Kluyveromyces lactis: one gene and its partners. The protein of the gene in region 5 purifies or fractionates together with the protein of the main gene of each other region. This does not show direct contact. Links are inferred from orthologs where the notes say so. Each region holds a gene or a part of one and is shown on either strand. Other genes may lie near its edges. The genes, in order: MPP6, MTR3, RRP43, LRP1, RRP4 and ECM16.

What was found.
Region 1: the proteins of RRP4 (region 5) and MPP6 purify together in Saccharomyces cerevisiae (affinity purification with mass spectrometry; 4 studies listed by BioGRID, with this or other methods). This does not show direct contact. The link is inferred for Kluyveromyces lactis from reciprocal best matches to the Saccharomyces cerevisiae genes RRP4 and MPP6.
Region 2: the proteins of RRP4 (region 5) and MTR3 purify together in Saccharomyces cerevisiae (affinity purification with mass spectrometry; 3 studies listed by BioGRID). This does not show direct contact. The link is inferred for Kluyveromyces lactis from reciprocal best matches to the Saccharomyces cerevisiae genes RRP4 and MTR3.
Region 3: the proteins of RRP4 (region 5) and RRP43 purify together in Saccharomyces cerevisiae (affinity purification with mass spectrometry; 6 studies listed by BioGRID, with this or other methods). This does not show direct contact. The link is inferred for Kluyveromyces lactis from reciprocal best matches to the Saccharomyces cerevisiae genes RRP4 and RRP43.
Region 4: the proteins of RRP4 (region 5) and LRP1 purify together in Saccharomyces cerevisiae (affinity purification with mass spectrometry; 6 studies listed by BioGRID, with this or other methods). This does not show direct contact. The link is inferred for Kluyveromyces lactis from reciprocal best matches to the Saccharomyces cerevisiae genes RRP4 and LRP1.
Region 6: the proteins of RRP4 (region 5) and ECM16 purify together in Saccharomyces cerevisiae (affinity purification with mass spectrometry; 3 studies listed by BioGRID). This does not show direct contact. The link is inferred for Kluyveromyces lactis from reciprocal best matches to the Saccharomyces cerevisiae genes RRP4 and ECM16.

Annotation. Positions count from the first base shown.
Region 1 is NC_006039.1:782,856-785,179, reverse strand, and holds MPP6 (Mpp6p), read left to right. Parts: upstream 1-1,296; coding exon 1,297-1,824; downstream 1,825-2,324. Other genes in the region: snoRNA-binding rRNA-processing protein PWP2, read right to left, coding at 1-644; YIH1 (Yih1p), read right to left, coding at 1,941-2,324. UniProt on the Saccharomyces cerevisiae protein: RNA-binding protein that associates with the RNA exosome complex. Involved in surveillance of pre-rRNAs and pre-mRNAs, and the degradation of cryptic non-coding RNAs (ncRNA) derived from intergenic regions and the ribosomal DNA spacer heterochromatin.
Region 2 is NC_006042.1:1,688,687-1,691,222, reverse strand, and holds MTR3 (exosome non-catalytic core subunit MTR3), read left to right. Parts: upstream 1-1,325; coding exon 1,326-2,036; downstream 2,037-2,536. Other genes in the region: CHO2 (phosphatidylethanolamine N-methyltransferase), read right to left, coding at 2,218-2,536.
Region 3 is NC_006039.1:318,921-321,937, forward strand, and holds RRP43 (exosome non-catalytic core subunit RRP43), read left to right. Parts: upstream 1-1,377; coding exon 1,378-2,517; downstream 2,518-3,017. Other genes in the region: RBK1 (putative ribokinase), read right to left, coding at 1-814; KLLA0_C03542g (elongation of very long chain fatty acids protein), read right to left, coding at 2,804-3,017.
Region 4 is NC_006041.1:1,510,274-1,512,636, reverse strand, and holds LRP1 (Lrp1p), read right to left. Parts: upstream 1,035-2,363; coding exon 501-1,034; downstream 1-500. Other genes in the region: DNA protein crosslink repair co-factor UBX5, read right to left, coding at 1-242; KLLA0_E16985g (uncharacterized protein), read left to right, coding at 1,484-2,002. UniProt on the Saccharomyces cerevisiae protein: Required for exosome-dependent processing of pre-rRNA and small nucleolar RNA (snRNA) precursors. Involved in processing of 35S pre-rRNA at the A0, A1 and A2 sites. Required for activity of RRP6 in 7S pre-rRNA processing.
Region 5 is NC_006041.1:1,129,885-1,132,931, forward strand, and holds RRP4 (exosome non-catalytic core subunit RRP4), read right to left. Parts: upstream 1,815-3,047; coding exon 501-1,814; downstream 1-500. Other genes in the region: OMS1 (putative RNA methyltransferase), read left to right, coding at 1-403; TRM5 (tRNA (guanine) methyltransferase), read left to right, coding at 1,843-3,047. UniProt on the Saccharomyces cerevisiae protein: Non-catalytic component of the RNA exosome complex which has 3'->5' exoribonuclease activity and participates in a multitude of cellular RNA processing and degradation events.
Region 6 is NC_006042.1:1,597,097-1,601,056, reverse strand, and holds the start of ECM16 (ATP-dependent RNA helicase ECM16), read left to right. Parts: upstream 1-1,160; coding exon 1,161-3,960. Other genes in the region: SAS2 (histone acetyltransferase), read right to left, coding at 1-796. UniProt on the Saccharomyces cerevisiae protein: Probable ATP-binding RNA helicase. Required for 18S rRNA synthesis. May play a role in restructuring of the pre-rRNA.

The DNA of each region.
Region 1 (2,324 bases), on a different chromosome or scaffold from region 5:
AAGGCACCATCTTTACTGACCGTGTATATCTTTTCCTGGTCATCGCTGAAATATGCTCCGATAACGTTATCTCTATGTCCTGCAAAAGTCGTCGATGCAAGATTTTTCTCCTCCGAGTTAACTGACCATATCCTTGCCGTTAGGTCCTTGGATGTGGATATAATAAATCTTGAATCTTTTGACCATGTCAAGGAAGTTATATCAGAAAAGTGGCCGGCATGGATTCTATAACGAACAAAAGGTGCAAACTGTCTATCCTCAGTGGTCTCGGGTGTCCTCCATATTTGTAAGAATCTCCCACAAGCCAGCGCAAATAACTTGCCATCAGGTGAAAACTTCAAGTCATAAACCTTTTCTTTGAAGTTGAAATGATGCAATACGTTTCTTGTCTTAAAGTTCGCCAAGATACCACGACCATCGACATCAATGGAAAGAAGTAACGTACCTTGCTTGTTGATATCTACAACGGCAACGTTCTTCCTATGTTCATATTCGAAGGTAAAAGCAGTATTGTTGATCAAATCAAATACCGACACCCTATTACCTACCGGTGAAAGTAACTTGGAACCATCTTGAGAGAACAAGACGTTACCTTGCCTATAAACAGTTCCCAAAAGATTGGAAAACTTAAAATCAGACTTCATCCGTAACTAAACCCTTATAAAGCTCGTCTGACCTGATTCCTTCCAACTAATTGAAATTGAACAACTGATTATAATGCAAAGTCCTTACAAGTGACTGATAATCCGTCTGCACTTCCTGCTTGAACTCATCTCATCTCATCTCATCTCATCGCTCAATTTTTTCTCTTAAATTTTTCGAAATCCTGTATGCTGAATGAAAAAGAAAGGAAAACATATACAGCTTTAGCACGGAAGTAAAGAAAGAGAGAACAGAAACATGTCGGTTTTTGGGTGGATTGTCGTTTATGTCAGCACTTGAAACTTAGTATGAGTACTTCATTATAGCTGTTTTCATACTTTTACCAATGACCTTTTTATTTCATTTATTTTTGTACAATGTTCCTTTTATAGTGCAGATCCTTGCATTCTGAAATACGTCCGACGGGGTTTAACCATGGATATTTCTATCTTCTTGCTATCTTTCATTTTCCGGACAATCGTAAACAAACTTTTCATGAAATTCTAATATGTAAGATCAAACCATTCAGCAGAAGATTGATGAGATGAGCTGTATTAGGACTTTAATGATACATTAAAAATGTATTCCAGTGTCAATGATATAGTGAAGCCTATTTGAAAGCGGTAATAGGGGCACTAAGACGAAAAGGTAACAATGAGTGGACAGAAACGGCATGAAGTCACAGGCAAGTTATCCAATAGAGTGATGAACATGAAGTTCATGAAGCATGCGGAACAAGCAGACAAAGTTAAACAGACCGAGGAGACAATAAAGAAATTGGTGGACTCGTCAGAATGGAGGATAGGTGACAATGTAAAACTCTTGACAAAACTTGCTAATAAATCAAAAGTGGTACAGAACGTAGGTTTCTCTGCTATCAAGTCACTGAATGATGAGGATTCGAAGATCGATACAAACGATCTCAGCACAAGCACACTACGGACTAGTGTAAATGCAGGAAGAAGAATATTCGGAAATAAACTCGGACGAGCTACGCCCGGTTCAGATGGGAGTTCTAATGATAAGAAAAGAAGTTTTGAAGAAAAGGACGAGGACGATGTGTCGACGACAGATTTAGAAAAGCTATGGGAAGCCGAAACACAGACTAAGAAACAGAAGAAATCCAATGGTAATGGTAATACTGAGAGGAATAAGAAGAAGTCAAAAAGGAATAGAAATTAAACTTCATAGCAGGATGCTAAATGAGACACTAGTATTTGTATATTATTTTCGCCGACTTATATAATAAATAGAGTAGATCAAATTCCGGTAACAATACTCCATTCTATAAATGTGAACTATTTTGACCTCTTCTTACTTGAAGTAGAGGTAGCAGCTTCTGTGAAATGCCCCTTCAATATTACTTCTCTAGTTGTTGAATTTATATGCTTGAATCTATCTGGACCAATATGAACTCCTCCGAACCATCTTCCAACGGCAACAATTACATTCCATGCATCCATCACTGTGATCAAATGTAGCATTCGTCCTCCTGCAGCTGTTTCTCCATCGTCATCGCAGTCTTGGAAACTGACACCGTTCTCTCCCTTGATTCTCCATGCAACCATTAAATGATTAGCACGAGCAATTTTATTATCGGTTCTTAACAGCTCAAGCTTATCGAATGCCTCTTCTTCAGAATTGGCTTTAGTAGCAAACGCAATAAACGTGCTCTTTCTGTC
Region 2 (2,536 bases), on a different chromosome or scaffold from region 5:
GATCTGATGTCAAAGGTTTCCTTACAAAGAGAGCCAAAACTTATGCATCAAATTTTTTAAGATTGGATTGCCGTAACTTTAGTCAATACTTTTCCTCCCTCTTCTGAAGTATGTACGAGATAGTACATTAAGTTCAATATACTCGTTGTTCCCTATGTAAAGATGTATGTTGGCCTTATTCAACGGCTTTCTGCCTTGATGTTCTTGTTTTTACGATTCAATCTCTCTTAGATTGTTAGTTTTTGTTCAAGAAAAAAGATTGTAGGTTAACTGTCATTCATGATATTCTGTCCTACTGCAACTTGTTTGAATCAATGGACATTCCAAGTTATATGGTTAGACTTTGAGCAATATTCGCAGAGTAGTTTGATTTTAATCAGAGTCCTGGGCTATTGGTGGGGTGTAATATCAAAAATCTTTATAATTTCTGCCAGATGCCTGGAAGAAACGTTACACTAACAGAGTCGGTTTAATTCAAAAATGTACTTTGGTCATCCTTTTCTTCGGTGGTTCAACCAATGAACGAATGACTTGCCTTGATTCTTGAAACCTATGCATGAAAGAGCTTCTGGTGAGAGCATTAGCGAGGGTTCGGCTTTCGATCTGGTCCAAGTGAATAGCTTCTGACTTTGTCTTGATGATACACCCAGAAACGATACTGGCTTTTGTATGTACGACTGGCAAGGCGGGTTAGAGTGGGGTGTTTTAGTTGCCAAATCCCAGGTTGTGAGGGGGGGGTCTCCGTCTGCCCCTCCACCGGTTTGCGAAAACGGTCACCTGGCATGAACCGGAAACAAGTGCTGTTTGGAAACATATGAGAAACATATGAGAAACACCAGTTAGTCACGTGGTTATATAACTTCACAAAGCAGTTCTCTCCGTTTCCTTCTGACGTATGAGGTGATGAGCCGAAAGCTAGTACACGACTCTTTTTCAGAAATACGGATCTATTACTATTTACTGGTTTGACAATACCGGGCGACAGCCACTTCTTCTGTTTAGAAATCATTTCACACGTACTGATCGTCGGTTGATTTGTAAAAAAGTTCCAATGCTGCCTGCCGATAATTTGGAAACAAGTACGGTACGGAAACAAACGGGAAACAAATAGGAAACACATATATATTATCACGTGATGACGTTAGAATTTTTCCATCTCGACTATTTCAATCGTGGTATTCTGTTAGTGACCGTTTTGCAAGTGAATATACATGCGATGAGATGCTTCCAAGTTGACGTTGGCTAGTGCCATATCAGCATATATTTACTTGAGTTTGTTTCCCATCGTTATATTAAACTAATACCCACAGAAGAGAGGTCTATTAATGAGTGTGCAAGATAGAAGAAGAATATTAGGGCCAGCAGAAGCGAAGCCATTGCAGTTTGCTGCAATTACTCCTGTAAGAACCGTAGAGAACAGGGACGATGGTAATGGTAATAAATCGGGTAAGGAATCTGTGTTCATTAGTACGGATTTAGTAACGAATGCAAATGGTTCCTCATACCTAGAATATATGGATGGTACTTCGGATCAAGTTCTCGTAATGAGTTCTGTCTTCGGACCCAGGCCATTGCGAGGCTCCTTCCAATCTAAGGCATCAGTATCGATTCAGTTCAAAGAAGTTACGTTAGAACATTTGAATACCGGAGAAATTAAAGAAATTTGTACTTTCCTAACAAATGTCTTTAATGCGGTGATAAACGTTGAGAAGTATCCAAAATCTGGTATTGATATCTTTATAGATTTGATCCAGCATTCTAATAGTAATCCAACAGAGGAGGCAAATATCGTTAATATTCTACCCACATGCATTAATTCTATTACCATGGCTCTTGTAGACGCAGGTATTGAAATCATTGATTTAGTGAGTGCCGGGTCAAAAGATAACTCTGTGGTTGCGTTTATTAGGAATGGACATGAAATCGTCGGTATTTGGAGCGATGACGATAACGTCACTGACATATCAAAATTAATAGAAGAGTGCAAGGCAAAATATTTGGTAAATAAGCAGACTTTGGTTCAATATCTTAAATGAAATGAAATGGTTAACGTAATTTCATAGTGATTCATAATTAATGTGACACGAACGCTTCTTCTGTATTAGCAAAATAAAAATATACAAGGCTTTACCATTAAGGGTGAGGATTCGTTAGAAACATATCCTATTTATACATGGGTTGATACTTTAGATATAGTTAAGTACAATAGAATGCGATTTATTCCAAGTTATCTAACACTTGCTTGATTTGCCATACTTTTTTGGTGATAATATCGATATCAAAATTGGTACGTTTCATGTAAACAACGGAAACATCGGTGTCCATAGTAGACTTATACCAGTTTTGTAATGTTTTCCCAGTGAAATATTTGTTCCTATTCAAATCAAATTTATTATCATTGATTAGAACACCACATTGTTTCAAGAACTGCTTCGTGGTAGCAATTAATTGGTCCACGTCTTTTACAGTTTCTTTAAATTGAGGGAATAATAACTTGAAAGGTTTCGAGATCATAACAACATCGTGACTGTTAGCA
Region 3 (3,017 bases), on a different chromosome or scaffold from region 5:
CAACCGCTATTGAAGGAACGTGACCTCCTTTAACGTTTTGCTTAGAGGTAAAAACTGCACCGAATTCTCCCAAAGTTATAATAACAACCGAGGAATTTGATGTGTTTATCAAATTACTCTGATAATACTGCGCTAATTCTAGGTATCCCAGCTTGAAGCTCTCCGCAATTCTCGATTTGTAGTTCTCAACCACGGCTTCACCATACAGTGATTCGCCAATTTGAATGGCTTCAATTTCATTAACAATTAAAATATCAACAGATTTCCAGTCTTCTACTTTTAATGCATGAAATGGAGAAGGGTTGAATACTACCTCAAAGTTTGGTCTATTTGCCTTTATCCAATTCATGATGGAAGGAGGATCAGGAATTTCATGTTGAAACACAATGAATTCTTTGGCGTTATTTTGAAACATCACTTCAAGCTGCTTATCAGAATACATAGTCTTACTGTTCGCTCCTGCTGTAATCATGATTCTATTTTGTCCCTTAGCTTTTTCCACTATAATTACTGCAACACCAGTTGACTCGTCATCAACCTCTTCAACATATTCTGTATTGATGTTATGATACTGCAATTTTGATAGTAGTTGATTTCCAAATGAATCAGAACCTACGTGGCCAACCATCCTAATGTTGCTTGTCTGGTCATCAGATGGTTTGGTTAATTTCGCGAGCGAAATGCATTGATTCAACCCCTTACCACCAGCATGTGTTTCAAACGAATCCGCAACGAAGGTCTCTCCTGCTACCGGAACACGCTCCGTATACGTGACCAAATCAAAATTTAACGATCCCACGACAACTATGCCCATACTGTTGTCTTGTTTACTTTGGGGTCCAAGCTCTTTATGTCGCAGTTAATGCATTGTATATACTGTCAAATCCTGCATATAATTCTTATCATTTCGTTTCAGATGTCCATAAATAAACCCAAAGCAGAGAACAAAACGGTACCTTTTTACATTTAAGCTAATTAAAAGTAACGAAGATGTAACGTACCACTTGACATCTATCCCACCTTTCGCTGGATTAGCTGTTATTTAGGGTATATCACATCAATATATCGGTCACGTGAGAATTATATTCTTTTAAGCAGCCTAGGGAGTCCGCAGATCTATTCAGAACCTTGTCACTTAAGAATTGAAAGGCATAACCAGTATACTGTATCGATTCCTGATAGTGTTCGACCCTCTCAGGGGTTTATACCAGTGTTTTCCATCCATTATTACTGCATAAATCTTTCAAACCTTCATAACGTCAAGGATGTATAAAAAAGTGAAAAACTTCAACTAGGTCTTTTACAAACGATTATAGCTCATCGCATGGGCTTAAGGATGGAGGAACTCCGCCAAGGAGTTGCTACAACCGATCAAGTATGACTGAAAGTATTGATATACATCCAATAGTTTTCCCACCCGAAGTTTTAGCTCGAATTTCGCCTGACATCTCCTTACAAAGACATTTGTCTTTGGAAACTCGACCATGTTCAAGAGGATTCGAAGAATTCAGAGATGTTGCCATTAACGATGGTAATATATCTAGGTACAGTACGAACTGTCAAAATGCAACTACAAATAACATTATTGGTTCCAGTCTTCTACGCTCTGGCAAGACCTTTGTGATAACTTCGATAACGGGTGGCATCATTGAAGAGACATTACCGGCGAACAATACTGAAGATGTTGGAGAAGAAGAATTGATGAAGCTTTCAGAAGATACTGATAGGCTCTGCGAAAATTCAACTATTTATCCCGTAGTAGAGGTACAACGTGGACGTGTTGGTGGTCCTACCGATGAAGAGATGATCACTTCAGAAAAGCTATACAAGACACTCTTACATTCTGGAATTCTTAAGAAAACAGCTTTGGCTGTATCGTGCGGTATTCGCAGGACTGAAGAAGATGGAAGTGTCACCACAATATACAGTGACGAGCTACTCGATGAGGAGAAAAAAATTAATGAAGCAAACAATAGGAAATGGTCCTATGTGCTTTATGCCAAAATACAAGTTTTCAGCCGTAACGGTCCAATTTATGATCTCTGTTGGAATTCTTTGATTAGTGCGCTAAAAACAGTGCAACTACCTAGAGCTTTCCTAGACGAACGTGCTGCTGATTTGAAAATTGCTATAAGAACCCGAGGTCGTAGTATGACAATTCGTGAAACATACGACATCTTATGCGACCCACACAAATCTTTACCTTTAAAATTGAACGAAGGAGAATTATGCTATGGTTCAAACTACGGAATCATTGACATCGAACCTTTAGCACAATTGGCCAAAAATGATGACGAAATGGACGTGGATAAACCAACTTCAGTATTATTAGCGGATATAGAAACAGAGGCCGAGGAATCATCAATTCTATCTACATTGTCCTTGACAACGAACAAAAATGGTCAATTCAAGGCTGCAACAATCATCGGAGGTGACTCTAAGATCACACCTGAAATGATAAAAAGGTGCATATTTTTATCTAAACAAAGATCAAAAGATATTGAATCCAAAGTTTAGTTGTGTAAGAAGCATATCGATATCTTTATAATACACGACATATTCAAACTTTCTTCAAAACAAACGTCAGAGTAATCTTGAACGTCAATCAATAGTTACTTACAAAAGAGGCTAAATTTCTAGTTATCTACGTGAGTTCTCTTTCGTACCAAATCATGACAGGAAACCTATTGAAGGTAAAACATCCATAAGAAAATGTAACATAAATAAACAAGGATGAAGAGAAGAGAATAAAAAATGATAGCGTGTGTTGAATATTACAACGTTTACATGCAAAAACATGTATTTATGCCTTCTTAGATCTAGTATTTCTCTTTCTTGGAGCTGGAGAAGGAGAGGGAGTACTCACATTCTTCAAATCGACATTCACATATTCGTTAACCTTAGCTGCAACACCACCACGAACTCTTTTAACAACCTTAGACTTCTTTGTGCCTTGACGTCTGTACACTTCAATGTAAAATGCAATGAATAAAAATAAGTAAGAAGAGATGATGGCG
Region 4 (2,363 bases), about 380 kb from region 5:
TCTTCAGCAAACTCTACGTCGCCACTCAGACCGCCAGAACCCCCTGTATTAGCACCAGCACCAGCACCGGCATTATTATTACCAGAATTGCTGTTCAACTGTCTCTCACCACCATGTTCAAAGAATAACGAGATGGCTGTTTCCAAATTGCCTCCGGCCATCTCAAGGAAATGTCTTGACAATTCATCGTTATCTGTACCGCAAACACCTTGGAAAGTTGAAATATCCTCGTCAGATATCATGGCTATTGAAATGTACTTCTTTTAATCCTTTTACTGGTCTCTGTAACTCTCTGTTGCCACTTGAAACCTGTATCTTTGGTTAATTCTTGTTCACGTTTGCCAACTGGAATTTCCTTCTTTTTGTTTCCCAATTTTAGTGTATTTATACTATACAACTTGTTATGTCAGTGAAAAATGCGATGCTAATTATTAATATAGAATGCCAGAATAAGACCCAGGAATACATGGATGAACATGCCAGGACATATTTCAGATGAATTATTTCTTCGATACTTTACCAGATTGTTTTTGCTGTTTTGATTTCTTTGTTCCGTCTACTACTCGATTTGCCAGTCCATCCTTATCAGTGCTGGTGGTGGAAGCCTCTGTCGAAAACTTAGTATGTTTCCCCTGAAAGTTGACTTTACTGATAGCAGGTTCCATTTTGCCACCTCCCAACGCAGATTGTAGAACTCTTTTTGCTTGTTCTTCTTGCTCCACCTCATCCTTCTCTTCAGATTCTTTCTTAGCTTCTAACTGTTTAGATTTATCCATATATGACTTACACCTTGCCAATTCGGCCATGATAGGTGACAGGTCTTTGATATTGAGGACTTTCATGTATGAAAAGCATAGTGAACTCAATACATATGCGTATTTGTTTGAAAGATCAAGTTTCTTCTTTTCATCTTGCAGAAGCAACAGTTGTTCGTCCAATGACTTGCTCGTTAGTTTGTTAATCTCACCACTGAGTTGTTCCACCTGTTTATTGAGATACGAGATGTATGGTTTAATTTTCTTAGTATCTTCCATGCTGGTAGTTGTATGTGGTCCGTGTTCTTGTCGTTGTCGACTGAGGCAGCGATGAGATGAGATGAGATGAGATGAGATGAAGCTGTATAATACCGAGATGAAGTATTCTTCACTGAATCAAAATTTTCGATCAATAACATAATACTGCGAATTTTTCGCAATGGAACAAAACGCATAATAATCTGCGTGCGTTTCGCACGTAGAAGTACTTCAGTAATATTTCTATTTCTTTATCCAGCGAAAATTCCATATTTGCCTGCCAAAAAAAAAAAAAAAAACGCAAGACATTACACACATTCATACCACATATATGGAGAACCTGTACTCAATACAGGGCGAGTAGTCCTATTTGGACTGTTGAAGTAACATCCACCCTCCGCCAGTATACTTAATTTCAACACTGGCCTAGCTCAAGAAGTACTTTAGTTTGTTTCTCGTCAGCATAGATAATGGTCGCTGATGACTTATCGAATATAGAGACACAGCTACGACAGGTTCGTGAGAAATATCGTGAGCAAGCACACTCGCTCTCGCCAAGCGATGCAGAATCATGGTCAACCTTGGCATCAAATTTGCAGAAAGTCGTCACAGAAATGGATCAGCTTTTGCAGCGGAACTCTAAACAGATGAACGTATCCTTCCTATTGAACCACGAGTCATCATCGCTTCAGGCTGGAATACAGCCACCGCAACCGCTTCTACAGAACCTATACCAAAAGAACGGGAACGACGAACAGCAGAACCATCTCAAAGTCAAACTCGATAGAACTGCGTTCTATTCGGAAAATTCCCCCTTCCAACATCAAATGGATCGGTCTGGTTCATTCAGACTCTGTCCACCTTTAGCACATACAAGTGCAGAAGATTACTTCCGCAACGATACGCAAACCCCAATTATGATCTCAGATGGCCAGATCCTGGAGAACTTGGCCAATCTTAAACGTCTCACTGAGATGCAACGCCAATAGGTGGATGTAATCTTCGTTTTCGTTTGAGATTCGACACATCACATATATGATCCATCTTTTATTTGAGTCATGCGAACGTTTTTGACCAATTATACACATATACACATATAATATGTATAGTAAAAGATAAAGCTGTAATGATACACTATAAAATATCTGTTGGCACCAGTTGCAGAACCATAGAGGTTCAATACCCAACGCAATTCTATCTCTTTGGTATATGTTTTCTCTTAAATCTGTCGAATTTGTCGCTCTTTGAGGGGGAAACAAAATTCGAAAAACATTAAAATAACTAACTAGCAAGTAAACATCAACATCAATAAAGTATCAAGACAAACAACGACACTAGGAAAGCTCTACA
Region 5 (3,047 bases):
TGTAAAATCTTTGAAGAATTTTGCTGAATTGTTGAAACCTGGCGGTAGAATCATTCTCTTGGAACACGGAAGAGGTTCATACGATACAATCAACAAAATTCTTGACGATAGAGCTGAGAAACGTTTAAAGACATGGGGTTGTAGATGGAACTTGGATATCGGAGAAATCCTTGACGATTCTGGATTGGATGTCGTCGAAGAAAGAAGAACACATTTCGGTACGACATGGTGTATTGTTGCCAAGCGTAAAGGTGACGGTAAGAAGAAAGAAGAAATTGGCTTCTTTGAAAAGTATCTTGGTGCTAGTGTTAAGAGCAGAATTGAATCTTTCACAAACGATGGAAAGAAGCAAGACTCGCTACAAGCTACCCATAATAAACCAACATCTGAGACATCCAAATGATGGTACTCTTATCGAAAAGATTTTATTATTTGTAAATATTATGCACTTTATTTATAAAATACTACTTCATGTAAATATTAATATTACCGATTACAACCTATGCTGCTCCCCTCATCTTCTCTGAGTTGATGACGTCTTGACCTAAGGACTCCATCGTCTCCGATTCAATTAACTGTCCCAAGTTACCATAAGCCATTGAAGCCTCATATGCGGATATTATTCTTGGCTCAGTGATACCGAGTTCGCAATGTGCTAACGCCTTAATTACGTTTGCATATCTTGTGATTGTTTGCCTAACGCTTACAGTAACAGTATCATTTTTATCCGAATATATTTCCCAAGAACTCTCTTCTTCCAATCTTGTAATGGAAACCGACATTGCATTGTTGGATCCTGGTAAATGGTCAGATTGTCCTGAACCTGTAGTAGTGGTCTTACCGGAAAGATCCATCTTGGAGGATTTCCTTATCCATACGAACCCATTTACACCCAAGATAATGGTGACATTCCCTGGAAGATTATGTGTATGATTTTTAGATCTCACTATTAGGGAACTTGGGACTTGAACAAACGTACCATTCCTTAGTTTCCCATATTTCAACGATCTGGTATGTAATGAAGCTGAACCGTCTTGGAACAACGATTGGACTTCAGCGTTTAGTAGATCACCTTCTTTCAAGAAGTTTCTCATTTGCAACTCATCTGTCTCTGACTTACGTCTCAATACACCACCTGGTAAATTAACAGAACCCAACATCAAAACCGCATACTGTTTGGCTCCAATATCCACTTTCCACCTTCTATTACCAACATCAGTGATTCTACCCACGATGTGGTCACCTGTTTCGGGAATATAACGAGATTTTAATGGTAAAACGGATAGCAATCTATTCACTCTCGATACTGTGCCAACCACAGAACTGTATGTCTTGTTTTCCAAGAAATAAGTACCATGACCCTTCATCCATATAGGATCATCGGTTATTAATTCACCAGGTGTGACAATAGACCCATCCTGATGGTCTATTCCACCATTGGAATCGTGAGCACCGCTCATCTCAATGTCATGTTCTTGCTCTGAACCTGAGCTGGAATCTGATTCATATTCATCCTGTTCTAAACGGCCATTAGACCAAAATTCGTTCCTATTGATAACACTAATAACATCACTCATTGTTCCAAGTAATGATATAACGATGTCAGGGACTGCAGAAGGCGTTCGATGTGCTGACTTCCTCGCTGTACCTTTGTTACTTTTGGTGTTAGTTAACTGAAAATTTTCCAAATTAAATAAGAGAGCGATGAGATGAGATGAGATGAGCGTTGTAAAAGATGTAAAAATGTTGCAGCAAAGATCGACCGTCAGGCAGCGTTTTATTTGGTGAAGTGATAGCACACTATTTTGCTCCATTTTTCAAGGATAGAGGAGGACTAGTTTTATGAGGTTTGGCCTAGTGCTTCGAAGAACAATGAGTAGAGCTATTGAAACTACGTTCAAATATGAACCACCAGTGCATCGTGGCATGAAACAATTAGATAAATCATTATTCGTAAAGAAGCTTCCTGTTGTTGTATTGCTATTGAAGAATCCAAAGAATATTTCTGTCTTCACCAAGAAGTTCAAGGACGATATATTAAGGACACCAAGAATTCCATTCGTTATAAGACTTGGCGAAACACCAAAAGAAGATACTGATAAGAACGATGTCGAGCCAGTACAGAAGAAAAGCAAATCCCTGGCCAATGACAACCATATAACCAAAGGTATCATACTAAAAGACAGTATACAAGATGTTTCGCAGGCGAGAGGGAAGTTGACCTCCAATGCACTAGAATTTCTTGATGAGCAAGAGTATGAGTTGAGAAACCATGAGTATGTGCTAGATTATGACTTCTGGAAAGTGGAAGAGATTCTAAATGCAATTTTACCAGAGGAGTACCTTGCTGAGATTCCTACTGGGTTCACTATTGTGGGACACGTAGCTCATTTGAATTTAAGGAAAGAGTTCAAACCGTTTGGTGAAATAATTGGACAAGTCATCTTGGACAAGAATTCGACGATCAAGACCGTGGTCGATAAAGTGGATTCCATTGCTACCAAATTCAGAACTTTCGAAATGAACGTCCTAGCGGGTGAACCGAACCTGCTAGTGACTCAAAGGGAATCTGATTGTTCATTCACTTTCGATTTCAGTAAAGTGTACTGGAACTCAAGACTACATACAGAACATGCAAGGTTAGTGAGTCTATTCAAACCGGGCCAAATAGTTGGTGATGTGTTTGCTGGGGTGGGGCCATTCTCAGTTCCAGCAGGAAAGAAGAAGGTCATCGTTCTAAGTAACGATTTGAACCCAGAATCTTACAAGTACATGCAGCAAAATATCATCGACAATAAGGTGGGTAACTTCGTTGAACCATTGAACCTCGATGGCCGCGAATTCATCAGAGATAGTCCCAAGCTACTACAACAATTCATCGAAAGGGTACAGGGAGTCATCACGGTGCCAGGAGGTAAGAAGTACAAGGATAAAGTCACGGGAGAAACTAAACGTACTCCTGAAACCAAGATCCCAATCAAAAACCAGTTCTTCGATCACTACGTGATGAACTTACCTGACAGTGCTCTTCAATTCCTTGATGAATT
Region 6 (3,960 bases), on a different chromosome or scaffold from region 5:
CGGAAAGATCCTTCAAAGTGACCTGGGCCACATCTTTCAAATTACCTTCAGTCAACTGCCAAACTATTGAGAAAGACCAAAATTTAAGATAGCCAATTAAACCGAAAGGAGATAGAGGAACTTCAGGACCCGAAATCAGACCCTGACATCTTGATAAAGTGTAGGAAAACTCAATCAAGAGAGTACCCAATCTTCTTCTTTGATAGGGCGGAAAGACAAGAATACATGCAAGGTTATTTTGGTGGTAGGAATATAAGTCTTTTGAAAAAAATGCCATCGGTACTGTAGAATTGTTCTCATACACAATATAGAATTCGAAATGCTTAACTTTGAAGTAGACAGACTTGTTATCAAGAAATAGCTTAGTAAATAGACATAAGCATTGGCAGAAAACTTCATGCTTAGAACCTTTTACCCTTCGTATAGTGTATTCGGGGCTTCTGTATTTTATTCTACCGGGTGGCTTATTCTTATATCGGCAAAAGCACTCATGTGCGATTAACTCTGCTTCATCATCAGTGTACTTGAAACAATATTCACATACGTATAGGGTATCAATCCAATACTGATCTTCAAACTTCTTTTCAGTAGGGCTTTGTTTTGCGGTGTGCTCATTGTTCGATTCCTTGAAGCCCAAGGTCCTCTTATTTCTTCCAAAATAAACATTACTCCCGTACCAAGTTGCAAATCTTTTATTCAAGCCAAATTGGACGTGCCTAATATTAGGCTTGTCAAGAATACCATATATTTCTTCATCCTCTGTTGAGCTGTTGTGCTTATCAGGTTTGGGAACCATTCATTAATGATTTGAAAAGAGGCAAAAAATGCGATTTATCACGTTTCCCAAATTTAATGAGTACTTGAAAACCCAATTAACGGTGGAATCAACTGCTCTTTGAACTTAAATGTACAAAAGATTGCCTATATCTTTGAATTATCAAAACGTTGAAAGCGACTTTCTTTTTTTTTTTTTCATCTTCCTTTATGGCAGAAAAAGCTTTAAAGCTCATCGCATCTCATCGCATCCAAGCTCACCTGCATCTATATATCAAAATCTCGTTGATAACAGGCTGGTAGTCTGAATGTTATAGGCCTCTGTGACATTAACAGTCAAGAGAAGTACCTCGCACGTTAAACGGTCAAAAAATTGAACAACAAACATGGGTACCTATAGGAAGCGCTGGAATGAGAAAGCACGCGCGGGTCAGATGTCTAAGTTGAAGGAGTTGAAGAGAGTAAGGAATAGGCAGTTCACCCGTGCACTTGAAAATTCTTCCGATGCTGATTCTGAAGAAGGTAATTCATCTGAAGATGAACATCATGAATCACCCGATCATCAGGAAGATACGAACGCTGCTGTATTGAAACCCATGACGGAGGAAGAGAAACAAGAGAAAAAGCGTAAATTGGAAGAGCTATTCACACCTAAGGAAACGAAGGTCTCTAGGACGAAGAAAAAAAGGTTAGAGAAGTTCATCGAGCATCAATTGAAAAGAGAGGAGAAAAAAGTTTTGATAGAAAAACTTCAGGACTATAAAATTGATACTAAGCTTTTGACAAGTTCTAAGATTTTGGGACAAGGAAGGCAAACTAAGAGGCAAGGGATTGAAGAAGCCCTCAAATTAGAAAGAAATGGACGTGGTGATGAAACTACCAGGGAAATTCTTTACGATGAAACTGAGGTAAGGGATTGGTATCAAGATCATCCAGAAACTAGGCCCAGTCAGGAAAGCACAGCTGAAAATTGCAATTCGGATAGTGATGAAACGGACCATACCAGTTCAGATCACCCTATTTCGGCAAATACTGGGGGATTTATTGATAATAGACCCAGTAAATTTGGTGGGTCAGGTTTTGGTTTTGGATTCGGTAATGCAAAGGTGGTGAATAAAAGGGCCTCGAAGAAAAGGTATAACTGGAAGCAAAAGGTAGAGCAAGAAGAACGTAGAAGGCGTAAACTGGATGATGATCAGGATTTTGAATCTGACGAAAGTGAATCAGAAGAACATTCATCCACTGCAGAAAGTGAACCTGATGAGAGTGAATCTAATAGTAATGCTGATAGTCACAGCGATGATGAGTCGAGTGAGTCTGACGGCGAGGAAAGATCGGATTCAGAAATAGCGCAGTGCAGAAACGTAAGTTCTTCAGTTGCCCAAGAATTTAAAGAGTGGGCAAATCAGGAAATTAAAAAGCTTGAAGGTAGAGATGTAGAAATGGTTATGCCTTCCTCCAACATCAAGGTCGATAGGACCGAGAGACCTGAAGACTTTGAAGATGGACTCAAAGCAGATGAATTTAATGTGAACGAAAATTCAACACGTAAGGCTTTTTATGTCAAGGTACGGAGATCTGATGCTGTTCAAGCTGTGAGAAGCGCACTACCTGTTTTCGCCGAGGAACATAGAATTATGGAAGCTATCCATCATAATGACGTTGTAATCATTTGTGGTGAAACTGGTTCAGGTAAAACGACACAGGTACCGCAGTTTCTTTACGAGGCAGGATATGGTAATTCGTCCTCAACTGACACGCCTGGGATGATTGGAATAACACAACCTAGAAGAGTGGCCGCTGTCTCTATGGCTGGACGTGTTACTAATGAGATGGGTGATCATGGCGAATATGTAGGATACCAAATTCGGTTCGATTCTTCTACCAAGGATAAAACAAGAATGAAATTTATGACTGATGGTGTTTTGCTAAGAGAGATGATGAACGATTTTAGACTTTCTAAATACTCTTCTATCATTATCGATGAAGCTCACGAGAGGAACATCAATACAGATATTTTGATTGGTATGTTAAGTCGTTGTGTCAGCTTACGTGCTAAGGAGCATGCAACTGATCCGGCTAAGTACAAAAAACTTAAACTAATTATCATGTCTGCCACCTTGAGAGTATCAGATTTTAGTGAAAACCCTACTTTATTCCCTGTTTCTCCACCTGTCTTAAAGGTCGACGCCAGGCAGTATCCAGTGGCTGTACATTTCAATCGTAGAACAGCTTATAACTATGCTGAAGAGGCTTTCAGGAAGACGTGTAAAATACATCAAAGGTTGCCTCCTGGTGCTATCTTGGTTTTTATGACAGGACAGCAAGAGATCACGCACATGGTAAAAAGGTTAAGAAAAGAGTTTCCTTTCCCCAAGAAACATCAAACTCTCATTCAAAATGACCACATACCTACAGTGAAAATAGATGCCAAAACTGCAGATGTAGAAGCTGAAGATATCGACTTCAGTGTCAGAGTTAGAGAGGAACAAGAATTTGACGATTGTTTACTCTCTGATGAGGAAGATATTGAGGACAAAGAAGAGGACGAAGAAGAAGGTTTTGAAGAAACACTTGAAGAAGGTCAGACGGATAGAGATCCACTATATGTTCTTCCTCTTTACTCGCTATTGCCCACCAAAGAGCAAATGAAGGTCTTCCTTGATCCCCCACCAAACTCCAGATTATGTGTTGTTGCTACTAATGTGGCAGAAACATCATTGACCATACCGGGAGTAAGATACGTCGTTGATTGTGGTAGATCAAAGGAAAGAAAGTTTGATGAAAATAATGGTGTTCAGAGTTTCGAAATTGACTGGATTAGCAAAGCTTCTGCTGGCCAAAGAAGTGGTAGAGCAGGGCGTACAGGGCCTGGTCATTGTTATCGTTTATACTCCTCTGCAGTTTTCGAAAGAGATTTTGAGCAGTTTTCTAAGCCTGAAATTTTAAGAATGCCTGTGGAGAGTATAGTTTTGCAAATGAAGAGCATGGCTGTTCATAATATTGTGAATTTTCCATTCCCTACCCCACCCGAAAGACCAGCTTTGATGAAGTCAATAAAGCTCTTACAACACCTAGGTGCACTCGACAGTAATGAAAGAATCACTGATGATGGTAAAGCAATGAGTTTGTTTCCGCTAAGTCCAAGATTTTCTAAAATGCTGCTTGTTGGTAATGAAAGCGACT